3 linked regions of the Drosophila melanogaster genome follow. The protein of the gene in region 1 interacts with the protein of each later gene in a pairwise test. Each region holds a gene or a part of one and is shown on either strand. Other genes may lie near its edges.

Region 1 (3,658 bases):
ACTGCCAGTGACCCCATGGCAAAGAAAATAAAATGGAGAGTTCTGGCACAGTGGGGGAACGAAGAAGAAAGCTAAAGAACCAATCGCTAAATTCTGCCTTGATAAGTCATCGTCTTAGCAGTCGCAGTTGGAACAAACAGACGACCGACTGGTAGACAGCTATATTTTGCATTTTGTTTTCGTTTCGTTTCCGCCAGATGTTGTCGCGAAGGCCATCGAAGGGAGGAGAGGGCGGTGCGTTTAGGAAATTGGGAGGCGGTAGGTGGTAGGTAGTTAGGCAAATAAAACCGATTATCTGTGGTCCAAAGCACTGAGCTAAAATTGAATTTGGAATATGAATCGAATTGAAATAAATAACATTACTAAGCTAATTTTTATTTCCAGCTTAAAGGCTACAAACAGTAATCATTCTACAGATTCTACGTTTCAAATCGAAAAACAAACATGTGAGAATAACATAATTATCTTAACTGCAAGGATAGTGACAAATGTTTTGACCGAGGTTTGCGCTATTTCCGTTTAAAAACAATGGAAAAGTAGAGCAATTAATTTAAATATATTTGTTTGAGCTTTTTTCTTTGCGATCAATACAACAATCGAGATTTATGTTTGCATATAACTTAAAACTAACTAGATCATGCCTAAGAAAAAGACAACGATTATTAACATCTCACAAATTGTTACTTTACTCACCTTGCAATTCGGCCAACTGCTCGGTGCTCATAACAATTGGGAGAATCTGCTTGGTGGTGCTGCTGGGATCTATCGAATTCGGATCGGCAATCGGGCTCATATAGCACTTGCGCATCCTTAGATACTGCAGCCAGACATTTTTGCCCTCCCCGGAAGCTCCTTTCTCGCCATGGTCATGGACGTTCAGATTGATTTGACTATCGTTCAGAAACATCTGGCGAGTGAGATGGAAGTGGCTGTTGGTGATGTAGATGTTCGGCTCGGCCGGCCTTGGTTTCTGAGCAAAGAACAATGAATTGTTAATACACTTTACATGTCTCGAGGTCAATTAGATCTTTACATAACATGGCTAGCAGTGTAACAGTGTCTTTGAATGGAAAATAATATTGCGCGCGATTTTAAGATCAATAGATTCTCAAATATGTTGGTTGTTTTGTGTTTGTTTTGTTAACCTGTTCGTGCATCACGGACAGCATATAGTTTTCGCTGATCAAGTGGATGTTGTAGTCTCGCAGGTCCACCATCAAGCGCTCCATACTCAGGTTCTTTTCTCGCAACTCGCGCACCTGTGCGTCCAGCTGGCTTTTATCGTCCTCATAAAGCTGGAGGGTCTGCTCCCACTCGTTTTTGATCGTGCGGACGTCGTACCATTGCTTCTGGCCAAGTAGCCGCTGGCACAGAAAGAGCTCCACGAGTTGGGTTAGCTTGGACAGGACGTAGATGCACAGAAATATCCACAAGAAGGTCACGCACAAGTTGAACACGTTCTTGCCGCGGAGGTCCGCGTTTACTCCTTGCTCATGCTCTAGCCCTTCCAGGATCGAGGATACGTTCCACATTGGTCCTTCTAATGTGTTGCTTTCCGTACTTGAAATTCTCGTGTTTTTGTTGTGTTTGCTTGAGATTACGGTGGTGGAAATACATTTAAGGATAAACAAACTAAACTCTACCCATGAAAGGGCTCTCGAAGCCTACTACTAAACGTTTAAAAGTTAATAACCGACAGTAATTAATGTTCTCATGAACAACGTAACTTTGCTGAGTTCGGAATTGAATAGTTCAAAGAGCGTATTCATTTAATAAAATTTAATTCACTTAGGATACTTTTTGAACGTGGTATGTATACTTTGAAAATTTAATTTGATTTTATTCGATTTTAGTAGCGGCTAACTATTTGGACTGTTTACAATATGACTAGTGTTAGTAGAGGTGTTTCTAATATCTAATACTTTTTTTAAATTAATTTTTCGTTGATTTTGTGTTTGTTTGTGTGCGTGTCTGGGGTTTCCCATTTTATGACTTAATTAGCCAAAACACCAATATAATAATGAACCGCAGCAACTGCGTCAAGATTCGTGCATTGAACTTTGGTGGGTTTTTCACAGGGATTTTATTTACAGAATCTCCTACAAAATTTTCCTTGAGTAACTGCACACTTGGTTTACTGTCGCTTAGTATATATACAGAAGGTAGCGATCCTTAACTTTATCCTTTGTACATACATTCTTGATCAAAGCAGATTACCAGCCGAGTTGATTACCACTCCCAAAATCTGCAAAAAATTGTTACGCTCAGAAAGTTGAATACTTCGATTTAATTTGAATTTATTATTTGCCAATTTCTATTGGAATTTCAAAAAATATTTAAATATTCATTCTTAAAGTATCGTTTATATTATTTAAAATTTGATTTGCCTTAAACTCGAAACCATTGTTTCTGTTGAATTAAGAATTCCTTAAAGGAAAGAAATGGGCTCTAATTAGTTGTTTGACATGCATACATAGTGCTACTGCATAGCAGCCCAATCCACACTTGATTAAATATGTGCACTTTAAAAATAATTATAACAAATGTGCCTTAGTGTTCGTTGGAAGGCCTAAGGGGTAGGACTGGGTGGGTGGGAGCTTGGGGCGACCCCAAATACGGACGACACAGACTGCGTTGTGGCAAGTGCATCGCTATTTCTGTAGCCAGAAGCTTTTTACCAGCCAACGTTGTCAGGTGCTTACTGGAGCATCAGTTCCTAGCCCCCGGGAAAAGCAGCAGCGCGTGCTGCAATTACAGCACCCAACGCTTACAGCTAAGCCAATGAGTTGGCACTTGCGCTAACAACAAGAGCTCAGTTCCCCCAGCCTCCTGAATACTGATGAGTTTTTTGTTTTGGCCGTACTGCGTTCCAGTTTAACTGTGCAGGAAATAGTTATCGATAACTGGCGCGACAAGGGCACGCCAATTATGTACGCACGCTGGTTTTCTGCTTAGTATGCAATCTGAGGGACTAGCTGCCAGTGAGCATTATGATCAGAATTGTTGACACCCAGGATGCCAACATCTACATACATAGTGTACAAAAGCATTAGGAGCTCGGTTGGTATTACTCCAATACCAACAAGGCTTACAATTGTCACTTTTAATCAAATAATGTCATGCGAGCCAACATAAAAACAAGAAAAATTGGAATATTTGCACAGGGAAATAAAAAATATCATTGTGCCTCTAAAGCCCCCAATAATTTGTTTTACCTAGGAAAATATCAAAAAATTACATATATGTTTTATTCAACTTTTATTTTCGTCGACAATCTATCAAATGTCGGTATGCAGACGTTTAATTAGCTCTCGTATTTATGTATGTTATGCGCGCACGTTTGCACAGACAAAGAATAAGGATTTATTTTCTTTACTCCAAGTCCATCAGGGCCAATTCTAGGCTGGTCTGAATATGGATAATGACCGAATCCTAGTCCAAAGCGATCTCGGCCTTTAAATCCTATTTGCCTTTTTTTACTGTTAGGGGTAGATGGATACGGCCACTGATCCTGCTTAACAACACACCATAAAATTTATAGTGTCAGAAAAAACTCAAATTACCTTTTACAGATTTCTTAAAGAATCTAAATTATCTTGTATATAACATACAAGATTAGATTAGTGTTATTTCTTTGAGAAAATTCAGAACTAGACAA
Region 2 (5,754 bases), on another chromosome or scaffold:
AGGCCAACGGGAGCCAACGGTATATTATGCAATCACAGCATGAATGAGACACTCTTGACCGAGTTTCCAAAGCCAGGCAATAACGGTACCAAGACACATGCGACAGCTGACAAGCGGGCCCCATCCACATCCCCATCCCCCAACCAAGCCAATCCACGCCAAGTTGCTGGGCCAAGCTCCCGGGAACGGGGCCCAAAGCGAAGAGCATGGCCAAGAAGCGACTAACGGGTTCTAGGCTGTGGGCCAAGCTACAAAAAAAGAAGGCGCTGCAAAGCTGAAGAGAAAAGGCTGCGAAAGGGGAAGAGCAGGAGTACGAGCCATACCGTAGATGGCCAACAAGAGCTCGAAATGCAGGGCACCCGCCAATTATGCAAACAATGCAGCTGGGAAATGCAGTAATAATAAAAAAGAAATAAAAAAGACCGAATACCCACGCGGCTTTCTTGTATACTTAACAAATATATGTAGGGTGGTTATTCTCTATAATGGGATGATATAATGTTTATATTTCCATGTTGATGAATATAATGAGATATTTGCTTTGTAAGCTTAAGGAAAAAAACAAATCATTTTCACATTTATTTGTAAACGATTACCAAATTAGTGACATACATTTATGAATACAATCTGAACTCGGTTTTGCCTTTATTAAAAAACAGTGATGCAGTTAGTAGGATAATATTGTTGGTTAGCTAAGCACGTGGGTGTATAAGTACTGTTTGTGGTGATCGTGTACACATCCTCCTGAATATTAGGTGGACATGATTTACTTCTGCAGATGGGTCTTCACCAGGGAAACAAGAGGGGCAGCTGTGGGCATCGCTGGGTGCTCACCGGCACTGCCGGCGATATCAATATGGGTGTACTTAATGGGCAGCATTGAATCCAACCCGTGTTTGTCCAGTCCAGAAGCCTTAATCATAAAGGCGGCGGGCACCTGGTGACCGCGAGGAGTCCTCACCGACGGGGCATTATTGGCCTGCACCAAATCCTCGCCAATCACCTTTCCAGCGTTAAAAGAGAAGTCACTGGGACGGAGAATGGACACTTCGAAGGGCTCTCCGAAGGCCTGTCCAGCAGCCTGCAGTCTTCTGGCGTGATCCTCCCGATGGGCCACGCTGTTATCGATGGCAATCGACTGACCCTCACCTGCCGAGATGAAGGCGTGACCAGTCAAGGTGGCAATGGTGAAAAGATGCGGATCCGGGAGATTCTGCTCCACGACCAACTCCTTCATGCGGCACAGGGCATCGGTCATGCACATGCGACCCTCGGCATCAGTATTTCCAATCCTCACATGAAGACCAGCTCGCGAGGTGATAACCTCATCGGCCACGTAGCACTCCTCGCCCACGGAATTGCGCACCATGCACAGGGCAGCCACAACATGGATATCATCCGGTTGCAGTTGACTGACCACCTGCATGAATCCAGCGACAGCAGCCGCTCCACACTTGTCGCGCGACATACCGGCCATCACACCACCGGCCTTGATGTCAGCACCACCGGTGTCATAGGTAACACCCTTGCCGACCAGCATCAGAGTTTTTCTCGCCGGCTTTGGAGGCTTGTACTCCAGGAAAATGATGCGACCACGATGACGCTCCACTGCATCAGCAGCCCGGTTTACGGCGGCAAACAGGGGATACTCCTTCTGCAACACCTGGGTGTCACTGATCACATTCACGTTGAGCTTGTCGAACAACGGCTTGATGTACTTCTCCACCTGGATGGGCGTCATGCGCTCCGGGTCCCCAACTCCGATGTCGCGGGCCACAAAGCGACCGGCCTCCAGAATGAGAGCTTCCTGGAAAATAGCTTCGGCCCTTGGATCATCGATCTGGACACTGAGCGTGGTCACACGGGGGTCCTTCAAAGTTCCTGCCTCGCGCAATTGAATGGGCTAAAAAACGTGTTTTAGCACATTGATTGAAATAAAAGTAAACATAATCCATATTACCACATAAAGCTGCTCCAGAGCTCCCAGAACGGTGCAGAGTTCGACCTCGGGGAAGCGCTTAACCTTGGGCACAAACAGCAACGGCGTGTGGAATCCAGCCTGGCAAAGAATACATATACATTTTCTTTCATAATTCACACAATATGTATAGAAAAAAAAAACCCACCTTGAGAACCTTCTCCATGGACCGCTTGGCCGCCTCCTGGTAGCTCCTCACATCGTCGTAGTCGGTGAGCTCGGAGACGGGGGCATAGACCACAGGTTGATCCACGTTGGGCACCTTAAAGCAGGATATGCTGCTGTCGAAGGACTTGTCGAATTTGCGGTGCTCCTCGAAGGTGGCCTTCAGTTCATTGGGAACCGCATTGCGATCGATGATGCACAGGCAGTCGTTGCCGGCCAGACTCATCAGCTTGTTCAGCCGGAGGGTGCATGGTAGAATTCTGGAGGGGCACACGTAGAGTAGAGTTAAAGTGCGCAACGGAATCGTTATTGGTATTCATTAAGAAACATTTCTGGGTGTCAACTAAATGTGCAATAGCGTTTAATTGAATTGAATTTTATCACGTCACATTTGCTTTATTAACTGATGCAGTCGTTCATATTGCATAACAGCCTGTTGCCTTTGTATTTCAATTTATTATTTCAAAAGAAAATGTCCCCACTGTATTAGGAGCAACCATGGCCATGTTTCAGTGTGTTCCCCTTTCGTTTACCCTCATTCCTGGCGCTGGGCTTATCTTAACTCGAAGTGCTATAAAGAATCGCGATAAGCTTTCGAAATGACCATAATCACAAACCGATTTCCAATTTAGAAACAAGTGTACCAAGTATTAGCACAAATGGTGTTAAAGTACTTATTTAGAATATTTGTAATCTTATTCAAGTGTTTCTACTAAATACCAATCCTTAGGTAACTGGGTCTATAATATTTTGGAGAATAATCCTATGTCGCTGACCATTTAATTGTGTTATCTTTTGAAGTGCCCCATATCAAACAATAAAAGTTGATCTATATATATCTGTTTCCAGAAGTAGCAAGAACTCGTTATCTAAGTAATAATGATAAAATTAAGTGACCTCCCCCCTTTAACTTTTATACAGTATTTCGCCAAACATTGTTTTTATTTTGGGAAAAGATAAAGTTTGGAATTTTCATGACATCTATTCCTTGCCGGCAACTAATTAAAACTGATAAACGCTGAGATATGCAGTACTAAAAACATTCTAATTTCGTTTTGGAATTATGGGAAAGGTAAATAAGATAGCAATTGATGGATGCTAAGCGACTAACCCTCACTGTAAAAGATGGCGAATCTTTGAGAGCTTTTCCAATCGGTCGCTAAGCGGTGGCTAGATAACTGATCCGCGCTAACTTAAAACACACCCTCTAATAACTGTTGGTAATAAATACTCACTTTTCGATACCCATGATGAGTACTTTTTCGCAGGCAGCTCACGCGACTTGGTTGATCGGCAAGTGGGGCGTCACTGAACCTCCCTGATGGGAACAAAGCGCTGCAGCTGGAAACTGGAAACTTGGGAGCGGGATCTGGAACGGAAAGCTGGCGATAAGGAGCGATTGTGATAGCTCTCCGCGACGATTTGCAATGTTCTGGCTGGGTGGCCAAGCTTTTTATACATTTTACTAGCGAGCCGGGCTTTAGGTTTTTTTTTTTTAATTGCTACTTGCGTTTTCGAATGAAAACAAATCGCACGAGCGATGAATAATCGCCAGTATGCTCGCTATGTACGTAATTCTAGAACTCGGATATAACTTGTAAACAATAAAGGCAAAGTCTACTCACGTCGCTCGGTCTTCGGAATTGTTATTGTGGGTTCCTCTTGCCAGTCACGTCCACGGTGGATGCAGTTTCTGGGCCAAAACTAACCAGTGGCAAAAAACAAAGGAATGGCAACCAGGTTTTTTTTTCACAGTAGACCAGCCGGCATGTGCGAAGCTTTCAAATGCCGGCCAAGTGACAGCTGTTTGTGGTTTGCCCGCGTTGCCAATTGTCATAAAGGATGTGGAAAGCTTTCGGTTCGAATTTTTGATACTCTTTGTATGGGACTACAAAGAAATAGAAGCTTATCGGTCGTTAGAGACCGGACATTATTACTTCTTAATTAGATATTTGTCGGGGTGTTATATTAAGGCCAAATAACACAGCAGTTTTAAATGTAAAAAATATTTATTCGCCATTAATAAAGCGTTGTATATCGTCAATAAGCTGCGGAAGTTTTTTGGCCTCCAGGACCAGGAGTTTCCTGTAGGGCGTCATCACGGCATCGCCTTCCAGCCAATCGCCAGACATGCCCGAATCGGTTTCAGAGGCCATGGAATACTCGAAGGAGAACTTAGCCCGATCCGAAAGCAACTCATCCTCAGCGTTGGTGTACACGTCCTCGCCCGGTTTGCCCTTCTTCGACTCTTTCCTGTAGAACTTAACCAGCAGCAGCAGAGTGCCAAAGTCGTATTTCATTTTCTTGGCCTTGGCGGCTTCGATTTCTTGCTGCAAACTCTGCAGCAGTGGCACGGAGATCTGGGCAGGGATATTGATAAAGCGCTCGTTGATCAAGAATCCCACATGGCGCTGCTCGCTGTCTAGAATCTCCTTCAACTGCTGCTGAACCTCCGGAGAAGCGTGCGTCTTGGCGCGATCCAGTATGTAGGTCCTTAACTGGGCGATGCTGGGCTGATCCTTTTTGGCGGTCAGGTTCAGCACAGAGGTGATTCCAAAGATGGTGCCATCCTCGACCATGTTGTCGTCCTCCGTTTCGCTTTCGGTGCCCTCGTCGTCGCACTGGCAGATCACACTGCCTATAAAATTTTGGGCTGGAAACAAAAAAAGTTGTGCTGATAGATAGATCAAGATAGTACCTTGGAGTGCTCACCTATGATCAAATCCGCCATTTGGTTGCAGTTGATGTGGGCACGAAGGAATAGTCGCTGCAGGAGTTGAGAGATTCCCTGGGCATCGGGATCTACTGGAGCTCGTCCCTCAAAGTCGATTTGCACCTCCTAGCCGGATATTAATTTTGAAACACATTTGCTTTTCATATTTTGGAGGCACTTAGATTACCTCGTTTCCCTTATAGGCATCTGGATGCGGTTCGTCGTCGTCATCATCCTCGCTGGAACTGGAGACATCCTCGTTGGGGTCCACCTCCATGGTACTCAATTTCTTTTGCTTATTAGCTGACATTTTTAAGATTTAGTTAACGAATTTGGTTTTGTTTCGCTTCCACTAAATTGCCGCCCGAACAGCTGTTTATCGTCCACACGTGTTGCATTGAGTTGCCAACTATTACGGAGCGTGCTGTTAAGTGGGCAGAGTTCTGTAAATGCACCGGAGTTAACAGGCTGTTAAGAAATAAAATTTACTGGAAATTAAATAGTAGACCCGACATTACATTTGACCATAAGTATTAACAAAATTCACAAGTTTCAGAAAATATTATTTGTGGTTTACTGTCAAAATTATTATTATTTAAGTCCTCATTGACTTTGAGCAATATAATATATGTATGAATCATTAATTTAAAATACAAAGGCCTTATAGAAGAAGCACAACAAAACAAGGGTCAAAATCACGCCTGAATCTCCTTATTTTTGTTTTGAGCGTGGTCCCCGGTGGACTCAATTTGAGGTAGACCTTCGTTTTTCGATTTTAGGCGCTCCTCATACTGCTCCTGGGTTAAAAGACTCGCCTTGATTGCATCGCAGTTTTCGATTTTGGGCAGAAGAATGGCGAAGTAGCCGGCTCCCTCGGGGAGTTGCTCCAGAAGCTTTG
Region 3 (5,463 bases), on another chromosome or scaffold:
AGCCCCTGCCCCAAAGTTTTCCCGGCACTGAGAACGAAAGTGAGTCGTTTCACCTACACAACACAACAAAGCTCGGGTGCCTTCACCCTCATTTGGACGAACATTTTTTTTTTTTGGCGCTGCGCAAGAAGTTCATTGAACTTGGTGGAAATTCGGAAGAAGTCCAGAGCCAACGACAAGCTACCAACGCCCTAGCCTCACACCCAGAAATCATTTCATTAGTTTCGTTGTGGGTTGATGCTTCGGCGCTGTACAAAAGTGCTTAGATTGCTACTATTCGTGTCCGACTGGAACATGGCCAAATCGACTAGTGATCCTGATCTGGAGTATGTTGGGGAACGCTTCCATTCACCTGTTTGAGCCCGCTGACCAAAAGTGGAGAAATTAAGGTATTGCATACTTTAAGGATGATACGAAAATTATTACGATTGATATCATTTTTTAATTGGCTTGAGAAGAAACAAGTTAAGTGCAAACCACTTAATACAGTAGCAGAAGATTTAAAGCCAATCAACCAGAAAAAATTGTAGTCCAAATTCTAGTACCTTCTCAAAATGTTTTATTTAACTTTACTTTACTTTGTTTGGTTCTTCGAATCTTTACACACTCATACAAAATATATGTAAATAATTACTAACAGCGTTAGCTGTCCATGTTTTTCGTTTGATCAGTATTTTGAACATATAAGTTAAAGCAAAACAAATTGAAATAATTTGTTTTTGGGATATAAATATAGTAATACGCGCCGTTGATCCTCCATGGCGGAATTCGTGCGTTGCCACATTGTGTGTTGTTGAAAAAAGCATGATGATGTACTCAAAAAAAACTACAATAATATATAGATAAATTTAAACTTAAATGCCGAAACAATCTGGTGTAAAACAACTAGTTTCGCTTCGAAAAGGTGCAACGAATTTCGGCTAACAAATAAAACGGATGAACCCCAATCTCCTGTGTGAACATCTATGCAAGTGAACTGGTATTTAAATAGCCTTATTCATATGTCATTTGATTGTTGTTTTCCGTTAGCTGCTTGTCGTGTCTACTCTTGCGCTGCAGCCGGCTGTAGCTGCGGCGCCAAGCGGTTGACGAACCCAATGCCTCCACGGATGATCTTGGCAAAGGCGGGCGGTGAGCGGGCGGCCAGCGCCTCGAAGGTTATACGCAGCTCAGCGAAAGCGTTGCGCGGATAGGGATTTCGTCGCGAGCTGTAGCGCATCACCAGATAGTGGTAGTAAATAACGGGCGTCATCAATCCAGCGTGGTTCCTAAAATTGAAAGTATTCTGCATTGGAGTGCATTCCCCTCGAAAGATATGTGTTAAAACTCACATGAAGGCCAGCACAATGGCGTAAGGCATGATGAAGATCTCGCAGAATGCAGTTGCCTTCAGGATATTCGCCGCCTGAAACTCTACAATGGAGATGATGAAACGGGCACCCCACCACGAGTTCTGGCCAATCAGCTGTAAGTACATTTCTTATTAGACAAGTGCCAAATGTGAAATATTGCTTTCCTTACATCCAGCAGCTTAAGCGAGTAGCTTGAGGCGTGCAGAACTGAGTACAGCAGCACGGGAATCAGAACCAGCAGCGATGGGCGGATGTTGAAGAAGATCAGGGAGTACATCATGTAATGACACGAGTCCTCGGCAAACAGTCGAGCAAGGAACTCCCGACTGAACGCGAACGCGGGCAATCTCTGGTGCAAACGCAAGGCAGAGATGGCGGCATTAGCCAGCATAACCTTGCTGAATGCGCTCTGTTGTGAGCTGTGGAGAAGTAAGTGAAAATTAGAGTAGGTCAATGTGGAAAACGCGTGTACTCACGTAAAGATGGGCAGCACGTAGCTGACGGTGAAGAAGATGACCAGCAGACGTAGTGCCCATAGCGCGGAATCTATGCGATTTGTCTGAAAATGCTGCAGGAGCTTGGCCGGTACGTTCTGTGATTGAGATTGCTGCGGTTGCTCCTGCTGCTGTGAGGATCTCTCGGAGCTGTTGGTCTGAGCGCCCTCGGAGCGCGGTGGTTGGTCGGTGGGTGCGCTCATGATGAAGTAGCTTTCGTGCTCGCTTTCCGTTCAGTATTCAGTCTGCAAGGCAGTTATGAAAATCAGTATAAGGTTTCTACTTTCGGCCTTATCGGCGGGAATTTGGCTGCTATCTTAGGCATAGGCAGCGATAAGAGAACCTTGGCTAAGTAACTGCGGCGCTATCTGATGTGTGAGGGTTCCAACCTAATGAATAGCCCGCAAGATCTGCCCTCTATGACTCCAGGATTAGACTGCACTACGCTTCTCAGTGCCAAGCGCTTTACGTCTTAATTGAAAGTCAGGGCCAACTGTTAAACCAGTCAAATGGAAAGTGGCTGGCAAACGCACTTAAAACGAGAACGGGCTGGCCCAAAAGTCGTGTTAATGTTCGCTTTAGCCAAGATGACTTGCCCACCATTACGGACAGTGCTTTGCATGAGGCAACCAAAAAAAGAAAACAGCCAAGCCATCGCTAAAGTATCATGTACTCTTACGGTTTGGCAATTATATTTCTCGAGTATGCGGTTTATGATGCCTAGCGCACTAAACGCAAAGATTTCGTTACGAAGCTCGAAGAGAAAACTGCAAGACAGCGCACAATGTGCATGTTGTTACGAAATACACGTCAAAATATTGAAACACAAACAGGTGGCAACAGGTGAAACATGGGAGGGGGAGTGGGCTGGTCTGAGCGATTAAGTAAACCCAACCGAGGGGGTCCATCCTACGTGTACTTTCGATTTACATGTCGAGTAATGAGACTGGCAGTGGGGCAGCCGTATCGATTGGGATCTGTGGACGGAGGGTCCTTCAACGGAAGTGGGTCACCTAGTCAATTTAAGGTAGCACCTGTCAACCCGCGCGCACATTATTCATGCAATAGTCCGGAGTCGGAAGCCCAATTATATGATGTCACATAGTGGACAGTTTGGTTGGTAGGTACACGTCAGAGATTCAGAAGGTAAGTCTCGCAAATTGAGGCTGATTGACCCGACTGAACTCCACAATGAACGGCAACGAAATCAAAGTGCAGGGCTCTTCGCGCCGCGCTGTAGAAATTCGAAACGGTTGCGCTTGGGGATTGGATGCTTCCTCCCCCGCACGGAAGTCGCGGAGCGAGTCCAAATGCCGACCTGCATAATTCACCAGTGTAATTACTGGGCCAGCAGCACACTTTTATCCGATTTGGGAACGACGTCAAGCGAAGAAAGTTAGCCTTTAATCACATGGATTTCGTTTCCGGCAAGGCACTGATTTTTCCTAATTCACGTTGGCCATTCACTTACCTCTTACTTAGCAGCAGGTACGTTCCAGCCTGCGATATGATGTGACTTCGAATTAAACGCAAGTTTTTCTCGTAAATTAATACGTATCAGTTTGGTCGGGGCTCCCGTGCGAACTAGAGATGGACGGGCAAAGTTGATCTAGTTCGATAAAAACGAACTGACACAGGGCTGCCACCGATTTGTATCGCACTGCTTTCTCGATCTTACGAAATTTAAAGACCACGTACTTGAAAGTTGCTGTTTTAGTTGTCGATTAAACGCCTAAATATTCAGTACAGTTTGAAAATGTGTTGTCAAATAAAAGTTACGATACAGGTTTCTGGAGCTAGTTGTATTAATAAAATAACTTAAAATAAATTAAAATTGGTAATCGATTTGCATACGGTTAAAGTGCATATTATTTTGAAAGTATAATTTCAATATCGCAGTTGGCCTAAGTTTCTAATAATTTACAATTTGAAAACAGCGCCAAGGCCTGGAATCCCCCCAATAAGTTCTCATTTGTATCGCTAATTTCGCACCTCTAATCTTCAAACGCACATTTTGGTTTATTTTGATTTGAATGCTCTAAGATTCATTTAGTGGCAAATAATTAATTATGGACGACGACATCTCGCTGCCCGCCGACACTTTGGCCATTTTAAACGAATTTCTGTTGGAGAGATCAAAACGCGAAGCCGAGGAGGAGAATCAAATCGCCAACAAGACCGGCAAGGATGCCCAGTTCGAGGAGGATTGGGCAAGAGCACCTGCACATACCTTAGAAACTTATGGTGAAACTCTCTTCGCTTGCAGCAATTGAGTCAGTTCTGGTACAGCACGGAAACCAAGCACGCATTGCGTGATGTTGTGCGTAAGCTTCTGGCGGAGCGCACGGAGGATTCGGGTGACTTTAGTATAGCACTGCTCTCCTGCCCATCGCTCTACAAGGACATCAGGGAGATACATGACACAGGTAAGTGGACATGTGAAACGATTATGAATGAATTGTCATCATTCTATCTTGTAGTGCACATATTCGAGTTCGACAAGCGTTTCGAGGCCTATGGCACAGATTTTGTGCACTACGACTTGAACTGCGTAGGGAGCAACCCGGACTACCTCAAAGAGCACCACCAGCAATATGACCTCATCGTGGCCGACCCGCCCTTCCTGTCCCAGGAGTGCATCGCCAAAACGTGTGAAATAATCACTAGGCTGCAACGAAACCAGAAGGAGAGCAAGGTAATCCTGTGCTCCGGTGAGGTGGTGGAGCCCTGGCTAACCGCTCGCCTGCCCGTCCTCAAGTGCAGCTTCCGCCCGGAACACGAACGCAATCTGGGCAACAAGTTTGTCAGCTACGCCAACTTCAATTTAGACGAGTATATTGAAAATAAATAAGCAATTGCGTTGAGGGATAAATGCCAGTTTGGAGTTGTAGTCTATTTCGCAGTCTGATCGGCTTCCTTGCGCTGCTGCACCAACTCGCGCAGACCGTCTTCCTGGCTCTTAAGGGACTTCTGCAAGAACTCCTTCTTCTTCTCCAGCAGTTCTATCGCTTTGTCGCATTTCTCCTGCCTAGCCTTCAGGTCCTCGCGCATATTCTGTACATCGGTAAGCAGGAACATGCGACCCACGGACTGGTAAACTCTATAGGGAAACAGTTCAATTAGCCACCTGAACACCTGGAGATGATTAATTGTGATTCTAGTTATGTACCTTGTGTCGTCGGCCAAGCTGCTGGTGCCCTTTTCTGTCAGCTGGTACTTTTGTTTGCCTGTCTTGACCATGTCGCACTTCATGTCGATCATGTGGATCTTCTTGGTCGTCTCCAGCTTATTGATCTGCATCTCGGTGAAGGCCTGCGTGCAAAAGGAATCGTCTATGACTAAGTTCTTTGGAAGAGCACGCGCTCTCCGTCGGCAGTCGGCCTTTTTGGCAACTTGCCTTCCGCTCACCTTCTTCAATTCGATGTCCATTTGTGCCATTTTGTGTGATAGCTTTTCCTTCACAGATGATTGAATGCAAATTGCTTGGCTTTGCTGCGAATTCACTGAAAATTGCAACACCTGCGGTAAGCTTATGGTTTTTTTTTTCTACTTTATTAGTGATGGCAGTTATATCTGACTCCTGCTGGCCTGAAAATATCGATGAGTACGCCCTGCAC

The links. The genes of interacting proteins can lie anywhere in the genome.
Region 2: the proteins of CG14589 (region 1) and Dip-B interact in a two-hybrid assay, tested with the Drosophila melanogaster proteins (one large-scale study listed by BioGRID).
Region 3: the proteins of CG14589 (region 1) and Kr-h2 interact in a two-hybrid assay, tested with the Drosophila melanogaster proteins (one large-scale study listed by BioGRID).

Annotation. Positions count from the first base shown.
Region 1 is NT_033778.4:6,135,301-6,138,958, reverse strand, and holds CG14589 (uncharacterized protein), read right to left. Parts: upstream 1,657-3,658; 5' UTR 1,533-1,656; coding exon 1,146-1,532; intron 971-1,145; coding exon 699-970; coding exon of another isoform or gene 694-698; intron 642-693; coding exon 551-641; 3' UTR 548-550; downstream 1-547.
Region 2 is NT_033777.3:13,780,466-13,786,219, reverse strand, and holds Dip-B (dipeptidase B), read right to left. Parts: upstream 3,933-5,754; 5' UTR 3,769-3,932; intron 3,581-3,768; exon of another isoform or gene 3,526-3,580; 5' UTR 3,393-3,525; coding exon 3,379-3,392; intron 2,404-3,378; coding exon 2,127-2,403; intron 2,060-2,126; coding exon 1,961-2,059; intron 1,904-1,960; coding exon 767-1,903; 3' UTR 544-766; downstream 1-543. Other genes in the region: CG9286 (uncharacterized protein), read right to left, coding at 4,153-4,796, 4,856-4,982, 5,044-5,166; CG9288 (uncharacterized protein), read right to left, coding at 5,552-5,754.
Region 3 is NT_033779.5:6,069,042-6,074,504, reverse strand, and holds Kr-h2 (kruppel homolog 2), read right to left. Parts: upstream 3,516-5,463; 5' UTR 3,318-3,515; intron 2,293-3,317; exon of another isoform or gene 2,092-2,292; 5' UTR 2,050-2,091; coding exon 1,829-2,049; intron 1,772-1,828; coding exon 1,522-1,771; intron 1,466-1,521; coding exon 1,332-1,465; intron 1,269-1,331; coding exon 1,043-1,268; 3' UTR 544-1,042; downstream 1-543. Other genes in the region: CG9154 (uncharacterized protein), read left to right, coding at 3,916-4,056, 4,113-4,272, 4,327-4,697; Pfdn1 (prefoldin 1), read right to left, coding at 4,739-4,946, 5,016-5,158, 5,255-5,284. UniProt on the Drosophila melanogaster protein: Member of the dosage-dependent hierarchy effective upon white gene expression.